2 linked regions of the Danio rerio genome follow. The protein of the gene in region 2 purifies or fractionates together with the protein of the main gene of each other region. This does not show direct contact. Links are inferred from orthologs where the notes say so. Each region holds a gene or a part of one and is shown on either strand. Other genes may lie near its edges.

Evidence for each region.
Region 1: the proteins of morf4l1 (region 2) and ash1l purify together in Homo sapiens (affinity purification with mass spectrometry; 4 studies listed by BioGRID and IntAct, counting the BioPlex papers as one, with this or other methods). This does not show direct contact. The link is inferred for Danio rerio from reciprocal best matches to the Homo sapiens genes MORF4L1 and ASH1L.

The regions. Positions count from the first base shown.
Region 1 is NC_133194.1:10,090,950-10,096,236, forward strand, and holds the start of ash1l (histone-lysine N-methyltransferase ASH1L), read left to right. Parts: upstream 1-2,259; 5' UTR 2,260-2,388; exon of another isoform or gene 2,389-2,945; intron 2,946-3,263; 5' UTR 3,264-3,345; intron 3,346-5,287. UniProt on the Homo sapiens protein: Histone methyltransferase specifically trimethylating 'Lys-36' of histone H3 forming H3K36me3. Also monomethylates 'Lys-9' of histone H3 (H3K9me1) in vitro. The physiological significance of the H3K9me1 activity is unclear.
Region 2 is NC_133193.1:21,427,938-21,432,464, forward strand, and holds part of morf4l1 (mortality factor 4-like protein 1), read left to right. Parts: intron 1-714; coding exon 715-816; intron 817-2,140; coding exon 2,141-2,229; intron 2,230-2,369; coding exon 2,370-2,542; intron 2,543-3,118; coding exon 3,119-3,203; intron 3,204-4,527. UniProt on the Homo sapiens protein: Component of the NuA4 histone acetyltransferase (HAT) complex which is involved in transcriptional activation of select genes principally by acetylation of nucleosomal histones H4 and H2A.

The DNA of each region.
Region 1 (5,287 bases), on a different chromosome or scaffold from region 2:
AGCATTCAGAACTCCAAATAGGTTCAAATAAGCTTTGAGGTCTGTGCTGACGTTTGTATATAATTGTAATTTGTGTGGACTAGAGTAGATCATACGTGTATTGTAGCAGTTTCTGTGACATTAATGTGAATCCAGACCATATTTACACTGAGTTGTTCATCCCTCTAGGCTGTATAGCCCACTATGCACCATTCCGGAGTTGAAATCCTACTTACCTGTATGCTGACTGTGTAGGCGTGTGTAAAAGACATTTTCTACCTTGGGGCATAGAAAAGTTATTGAATATGCACACAGAACGTTTCAACATCCTGGCTTTTTGGGTTTGCTCCCTGCACTGTTACTGCAGCACTCCATTACATTTTCTCATGTATGCAGGTGTTCAGGCAAACCCATGGTATAAATGCTTAATTCCATGTGAATAAATGACCAATTGCAGCTGTGTCTTGTGGAGGACGGGATGATTCGCATCCTGAAAAGCATTGGATTGGTCAGAAAACCTGATGAGAAGATGTGTGTGTGATGTCATAAAAAACTGAGAGTGACACACTGTATTTTTTAATGCTCACATCTTCCAAATGTTAATTTTGACTTGGAGCTCACAATCTTATAGATGACCTAAAATATAAAATAAATAAAAAATTTCAGGGGGATTTAAAGTGAATTATTAACTTAGAACACAGACTTGAGAAACACGATTATTTAAATAATAAAAGTGGAGTTTAGATCAACTTTCCATTACATTTCCTCATATATCCAAGTGTTTAGGCAAAGCTTGGAATAATTAGTAAAGCAAACCTTGGTATAAATGCTTATTTACATGTGAATAAATGACCAATTGTTATGGGGAGTGGGATTGCTCCACTGAAGAGCATTTGATGGTCAGAAAATCTGATGAGAAGATTGAGTCATAATAAAGTGAAAGGGATAAACTGATTTTGTGAATGCTTACTTGTATCTTCGAAATGTCGTTTTGGAGGTCACACTCTTATAGATAACCTTAAGATACAAACCCCTTCAAAATGATTTCAGGGGAACTTTAAACTGAAAGATTAATCCAAAACACAGATTCGATAAAAAAACAAAAAACAAAAACAACACATAGTTAATTTGATGATAAACAGTGGGCAGTTCAGATCAACACTCCATTACATTTTCTCATATATGCAAGTGTTCAGTCAAACCCTTGGTATGAATGCTTAATTCCATGTGAATAGATGACCAATTCCAGCTGTGTCTAGTGGGGGGCGGGATGCTTCGTATCCTGAGGAGCATTTGAGATGATGAGAAGATGTGTGTGTGGTGATGTCAAAAAAACAGTGAAATGCTCACATCTTCCAAATGTAAAGTTTGACTTCCTTTTGGAGCTCACAATCTTATAGATTACCGAAAATAAACAATTAAATTTTTTTTAGGGGGATTTAAAGTAAATGATTAACTTAAAACACACATTTGAGAAGCACTGCTAATTAGATATTAAACGTTAAGGAGTTTAGATCAACTTTCCATGAAAATTCTTCATAAATCCAAGTGTTTAGACAAACCTTGGTATAATTGTTATAGCAAACCTTGGTATAAATGCTTAATTACATGCGAATAAATGACCAATTGTTTCGGGGAGTGGGAATGCTTCACTGAAGGGCATTTGATGGTCAGATAATCTGATGAGAAGATGAAGTGCATCGTGATGTCATAAAAAAGTGAAAGTGATAAACTGCAATTTTAAAATCTGACTTTTCTATCTTCCAAATGTGATTTTTGACTCCTTTTTGGAGCTCACAATCTTACAGATAATCTGAAACAAAAACTTAAAATGATTTCAGGGGGCTTTAAAGTGAATCATTAATTTAAAACATATTCAGCTCCTCTCCTAATGATTCTGCTCACTCACACGGTTACACAACCCGCCTCACGGCTACGATTCCCACGGGAGTCTCGATATTTCACTGTGGGTAAACACTGCCACGAGCGTGCGACAACACGAGCCCCCTTTTGAGGAGTCATAGCCTACATTTTCTTTTAACGAACCAACATTTTTCAGAATTAGGTAACGTTACAGAGTGTGTGCTCGTTCGTTGTATATTTATATCATGGACCATAATAAAAAACATTACTCCCTAGATTTAGTCAAAAGTGTGTAAGTGAATTTCTAGGAGAAAGTGCCTAACAGCCGTCGAGTCGACAACTGCCCTCTCCTCCCTCCCTCCTGGCCGTCCACTCCTCCTCCTCCTCCCGCTCCGCCTGTGAGAATGCCCGTGCTGTACTGACAGAAACGATACGGGCTAAGCAGACATGGAGGCCCGATTGACGAGAGAGGCCCGTTCCGACGAGCCAGAGCTTCACTAACTCGGACCCGGAGAGAATTTCGGGCGACATATCGGATTATCACGGGTAACGAGCGACGCACACGAGACAGGGGAGAGGTGGAAGAATTTGAGGGAGAGATCCATTTCGGGTCCCTCTGTTGATTCAACGCAGCAGCCGCCATTTTGTTGACAGTTCGTGTTTTTAATAACCCGTGCAGGGCTCATCCCGGAGAGCGTTAGATTTTTGCATTCCGCTTCTTTTGGTCCTTCCGAGGATATTTATGCTCATTTTTTGTTATTTTTTACTGAAGGCCTGATGGAGAAGGGGACGGTTTACTCATTCCCTTCGCACCAGCAGCGGTTGCTTCGTTACATTACTCGTATGGACAAATCGCGGGGGTTTTGCTAGCAATGCCAGCAAATGTGTCTTGACAGGACAGCTCAGTCGTTTCGTTAAGAGTGTGGGGTTGATAGTAGTGATTAGCGGGTGTGAATTCACTCGTATAGAGGGTTGTAAACAACACATAGACGTGAATTGGATGGCCGTTGACGTTGTGTACGTGTGGTTACAGCCTCGATGTTGAGCAAAACCAACTTACCTTGCTCCAGACATGTGTCTTTCAAAATTGCAATGGCAGCAAGGTATTTTGACGTCCCGCTGTAGTAACCCTTTCACTTGCTATTATTGTTTCACACAGACTGGGTTTGGACATATTTAGTAGTGTCCTGAGGTTGAGCTCAATATATATGCTCTTCGCTAACGAGCTATGCTAGCTAACGTTATATTAGGATCATAAACCGTGACCAGTGCGCCTCACGTAGATAAATATCGTTACTTGCGGGGTGACTGGATCAACAGACTAACGTTAGGCTAATGTTTTGTTATGTCATACATTGGTTGGAATGTTCTTACGAGAAACGTGACGCCTTTTTCCCTCTTGCTTTTTTTGGGTACATCAGCAATTTCAAGATAAATATCCGAGCGACCATGCTGGGAGGATTTTGACCGCAAATTATGTGAACGCCGTTCTAGCTCGCTAAGGTAAGTTCTTCATACTTTATTCTGCATTTAGACTTCAAATGTGCTATAAATGCTCTGTAATCTAGATGTTTGTGTATTCTTTGAGTACATTTGTTCGAACTAGAAAGGGAAAACGCAGTATTTTGATGCATGACATGCGCGTAACGCTTTGTTTGTTTGTTATTGCTAAACGTAATGCGGCTTGGAAAGTGTTACGGTGTTCATTCATTCAGAAGTTATGATCAGCGAGCCTTAAGTGTTCATAAAAAAGGCTTAATTCATAGAAACGAACCTTCAGTGGCACCTGCCAGTAGATCATCCTCAGTTAACCTCGTTCACAATAGGGTTCATTGCACGTGCAAATTGCGCGCGCCTTTGCCTGGTTATAGTTTTTCCCCATTGGAGCAGATGTCTGAGAAGTGGAGGAAAGTGTAGAAAGTGGTGTCTGGAGCCCTTGAGCAACCTTTGACCTCTGACTCCGCTGTCAAGGAAACCAGAAGCTTCCCGCTGACTGAGAGCTGTTTGAGTGGATAGCAGTGATTTCAGGCATTTATTTGTGGTCGGGGAAGATTTGAAATATAAGTGCAGATTAATAGCAGATCCCAATGCTTTTGCCGGCAACATTACGTTAGCCAGTTTAGTTTTGTTTTGTGGTGCTTTGTGTTTCTATTTGATGCAAAGTTGCGAGGCGTAACATAGATTAAAGTGCACCAATGATGAAAGTCAACTTTTGGAAGTTTTTTGGACAGAACTGTGTGTATGTATAGTGTTGACAGTCATATTGGAGTGCTATAAACCCAACAAGTCTCTTTTTTATTTACTGACGTTAAATTCGGAGCCAAATCCCAGTGATTTTGATGCCCACTGCAACGTGATGTAGGAGTCCGGTTTTCCCCGCCCACCAAATTGATTGACAGACGCCATGTATCGATAATAACATGTACACACGTCCACAGAACATTTTTTTTTGCAAAAAAAACTGATTAAAACATTTGTTAGGCATGAGATGATAACCGTTTTCAAGCTATAACGCGGTTTGGAAAAGTCAAGGTTTTATAATCGTCGAAATTTTCTACCAATCCTAGGGTATGTGTAAGATTTTTTATTTACATTTTTTTTTTTTTTTTTTTTTAGGACAACAGTATCTCCAGCAGAAAATATATCCAAAAATGCCATTTTAAATTGTAAAAAAAACAGTGTTTTTGAAACAAATGAAGACAGCAGAAGTCAATGATTCATTTGAATTATTTAGCCTGACATGTTTACTTCTCCAAAATATTTAAAATATTTCTCAAAATAAAATGTATTGTGTTCAAAGTGGAACAACGTCTTTGTTTTTTACCCAGACATTGAAAAAATATTTTTATATTATAGAGCAGTAATCACAATACCATGAAACCGTGATATTTTTATTCAAGCCCTGCTGAAAAATCCAGCTTAAACCAGCCTAGGCTGGTTGGCTGGTTTTAGCTGGTCAATCAGGCTGGTTTTAGAGGGGTTTTGGCCACTTCCAGGCTGGTTTCCAGCCATTTCCAGCCTGGTTTTAGCTGGTCAGGCTGGAAAATGACCAGCTAAATCCAGCTAAAACCAGCTTGACCAGCCTAGCCAGGTTGGGAGCCCAGCCAAAACCAGCTATGTCCAGCTATGTCCAGCTTAAACCAGGCTAGTCAAGCAAAAAAAAAATTCTGTGGACGTGTGTACATGTTATTATCGATACATGGCGTCTGTCAATCAATTTGGTGGGCGGGGAAAACCGGACTCCTACATCACGTTGCAGTGGGCATCAAAATCACTGGGATTTGGCTCCGAATTTAACGTCAGTAAATAAAAAAGAGACTTGTTGGGTTTATAGCACTCCGCCAAAACCCCTCTAAAACCAGCCTGGTCGACCAGCTAAAACCAGCCAACCAGCCTAGGCTGGTTTAAGCTGGATTTTTTAGCAGGGAGGTTATCATACCGTCAG
Region 2 (4,527 bases):
ATATATATATATATATATATATATATATATATATATATATATATATATATATATATATATATATATATATATATATATACACACACACATATATATATATACATATATATACACATCAACTTATTAACTTAAAACGTTTCATGCTTAAGGGATAATAAGAGAATACATGTCAAGATGATGCTTTTTATGTTTTATGAAACGATTTATTAGACCTGTCACTTCACTTGTATGCTTATCTTAGAACATCATGAACTCGCAGTTTCTTTTTTTAATACCCTATTTTTTTTTGTGTTCTGAAAAAGAAAAACAGACATGCTGCATTGCAACAACACCAGGGTGAGCAAATAATGACAATCATACATTTGCAAATCAGCCCCACACAACATATAATAAACCATTAAGAATGTGTTGCTAATTTTACAAAAACCTGTTCGGTTTGCCATAATACACGGATACTGTACCTAGTAACATATTAGATTCTTTGAACAATAAATAAGTGAATATGGCATATGTAAGACTTGTTTTTTTTTTTTTTTTTACATGCTTGTGGTGGTAGGTAAATGGAGAATATACCTAATGCATGGTTTGTCTTTTACACATATTGACAAGATTGACAAGTAAACAATATTAAAAACATGATTTTCTCCAAAGAAGGGTCTTAACAGATGCTAAGAGTGAGGCTGTTTTTGATGGCCTTGCTGGTTTTGTGTGCAGGAGGAGACTTTTATCAACAGAGTAGAAGTAAAAGTAAAAATTCCTGAAGAATTAAAACCATGGCTGGTTGATGACTGGGACCTGATTACGAGACAGAAGCAGGTAAATAAAGCCTCATTTCATTCTTAGCGTAATCCAATTCCTGCTTTCCTCCTTTATTGAATATATTGATAATATGGAATGACAGACCAAAAAAAGGGGGATGGCTCTAGGGATGCAAAGATACACGGATTTCACTATTAACCGCGATTTAATTCATCACTGTTAATTAATCGTAAAGGCTTTTTAACACCGTGTGTCTGCATGGAACAAAACTGCTGTAACTAAACAAGGATATGCCAACTGTGCCCTAGTTTAAAGTTCTGAGCCTTTACACAGGTGAATACCCGCACACACTAAATTAAAGGTTGATTTTAACTATGGCTGAGGCTATTAACTAAGGAATGTAACACATCCCTTCTTTTGCGCACACAAGTTTGTTATTTCCAATAGAGTTATTTAAGGGTCCTTTTCAGATGCAACTAGTTGAAAGAATGCTGCAAGTGCATCGCGAGTCACGAGACTAAAACTGACCGCTCAGCTTCATACTTTTGTATTTTTTTTTTCTTTGGAGTAGAAATACAAAGGAAAATAGGCTACCAAACAATTTTGTAATGTGGTTGATCAAATGTACTTTTTCGACAGTGGTCCAGCAGTCTTTGACTACATTTGTTTGGGAAATTCTTAGCTAATATATAGCTTAGATTTTTTTTAGAGAAATACTGTTTTTGTTTATTTATTCATTTATTCGTTGTTCTGTCATTTATTTTCAGTGTAAAATTATTACTTGTATCCAAACGACAAAAACATGATTCACTTATTTATAAGTCCAAAGAGAAATAGACTATTGTTTGTTTTTTATTATTAGTTTGTGCTGTGTTAGATGGATACTGAGCAGCAATAAATAACACTTTAAGGAGTGTTCATAAGAAACTAGTATTGTTTTGGAATTAATGAATAATGCATAATAATCGTGATAACCGTGTGATAATTCCTCAGACTAGAATCGTACAACCAAAATCTATAATCGTTGCATCCTTAGATGGCACTGTATAGTCAATTTATTTGTTAAAATCCGTATTTAAAACCTTAAAATGACATTTAAATCAAATATTTTAAAGATGCTTTAATTTAAAATGTAGGCTTATTTATATCTGCTGAAGCATCATTTCTCATTTCTATGTATTTTAACTTGACAAACTACAATAACTACAATTTAAATGGGAAAACATGAGGTAATGGTATAAATCAGGCATATGATGAAGTTTTTTAACTGTGTGTTTGCCAGAATTTTGAAAATTGGTCATAGAATTATATTTTGAGTTTTAAAATGTACTTTGCGTGGAAAATACATTTTGTTTATTAAATTTTTTTGTGTTTTGTTTAGCTTTTTCACTTGCCTGCAAAAAAGAATGTGGATGCTGTCCTGGAGGACTATGCAAATTACAAGAAATCAAGAGGAAACTCTGATAACAAGTGTGTTTGTATACCATCGTCTTATCCAGTGTAATCAGCTAAGAAGTTATTATATGTAGTAACTAATTTCTTACATTTGTTATGTTATATTTATCAGTTTTTGGAGAGACACTCATACTGTATGCTTGATCCTTTCTCAGGGAATACGCCGTGAACGAGGTGGTTGCTGGAATCCGAGAGTACTTCAACGTGATGTTGGGCACTCAGCTTCTCTACAAGTTTGAGAGGCCGCAGTATGCAGAGATCCTCGCAAACCATCCAGATACATCCATGTCTCAGATCTACGGAGCACCGCACTTGCTGAGACTTTTTGGTATGACTTTAAAAGCTATATTGTGTTTTGAAAGCTTACTAGCTGTATACCTGGTATTTTCCCAGGATGTTGCTAACAACCAAATAAATACAAATATGCAAAGAAAACAAATCTAATTGGTATACAAATGAAGTTATGTGTAATAAAATGAAATGATGCAGAGAAAAAGTATTGAACGCAATAAGGGAGGTGTAGAAAGGCAGTAAAAAATCTCTGAAATCTCTCTATAGTTATTCAGCAACCCACTGCCCTTCATCATTGTAGATTAAAATGTGTTTTGAAAGCTAGCTAACTGTATAGCAAAGTCCATTTCTAATATTTTACAGGACACTAAATGTTTAATTTGAGCTTTGAATTCTATAGTAGTTTTTTAAAGACTATAGTAGCCCGGTCCCATAATTTAATCCTCAAGGCTTAATCGAACCTCAAACGCAGCAATGAAGGTTTGAATGAGTTAAAAGAGCTAAAAAATTAGTGGTTGCATCAAAGAGAAGGTTTAGTTTTTCATCACTGGTAATTACATTCATGTTTAATTTTAGTAATTGATGATATGGTCTCTTTCATGTCTTTTGCCAGTGAGAATTGGAGCAATGCTGGCCTACACACCTCTGGATGAAAAGAGTCTAGCTCTGCTTCTCAGCTACCTGCAAGATTTTTTAAAGTAAGGAGAATTGATTTTAATTCTTCAATTGTGACATGGAAAAATTCAGCAGCTTTATGGGGCTGTTAGTGAGATAATGTTTGATGGTTATTTTCTCTGCCATTTTTAATGAAGCTGGGCTAATGTCAAGCAGTGCAGATCAAGAAGTGTGTGTATTTGTTTGTCTCTGTGAAATTTTGGTAGGGCAAGTCAAAATTTAAACCACTGACTTCACTGAGCCAGTTGAAAAATGCTTGACGTTATCTGGCCACTTTATTAGGTACACCTGTCCAACTGCACATTTACACAAATTTCCAATCACATGGCAGCAACTCAATGCATTTAGGCATGTAGACGTGGTCAAGACCTGCAGTTCAACCGAGCATCAGAATGGGAAAGAAAGGTGATTTAAGTGACTTTGAAAGTGGCATAGTTGTGCCAGATTGGCTGGTATGAGTATTTCAGAAACTGTTGATCTACTGGGATTTTCAAGCACAACCATCTCTAGGGTTTACTGAGAATGGTTCAAAAAAGAGAAAATATCCAGTGAGTGGCAGTTCTGTGGGCACAAATGCTTTGCTGAGGGCGGAGGTCAGAGGAGAATGGCCAGACAGGTTCTAGCTGATCGAAAGGCAACAGTAACTCTAACCACTTGTTACAACTGATGCAGAAGAGCATCTCTGCATACAAAACATGTCAAACCACACCGGGTACAGGAGGACCAGACTGGTTGCCACTCTGTGAGGTAAGAACAGGAAACTGATGCTACAATTCCCACAGGCTCACCAAAATTGACCAACAGAAGATTGGAAAAACATTGTCTGGTCTGATGAGTCTTGATTTCTGCTGTAACATTCGGATGGTAGGGTCAGAATTTGGCATCGACAACAGGAAAGCATGGATCCATCCTGCCTTTTATCAATGATTCAGGCTGGTGGTGTAATGGTGTGGGGGATATTTTCTTGGCACACTTTGGGCCCATTAGTACCAATTGAGCATCGCGTCGGCGCCACAGCCAACCTGAGTATTGTTGCTGACCATGTCCATCCCTTTATAACTACAGTATACCCATCTTCTGAGGATGACGTGCCATGTCATAAAGTGCAAATTATCTCAGACTAATTTCTTGAACATGACAATGAGTTCACAAATCGCCTCCACAGTCGCCAGTTCTCAATCCGATAAAGCATCCATGGGATGTGGTGGAACGGGAGTTTAACATCATGGATGGCAACTGACAAATCTGCAGCAACTCTGTGATGCTATCATGTCAATATGGACCAAAATCTCAGAGGAATATTTCCAGTACCTTGTTGAATCTATGCCACAAAGGATTAAGGCAGTT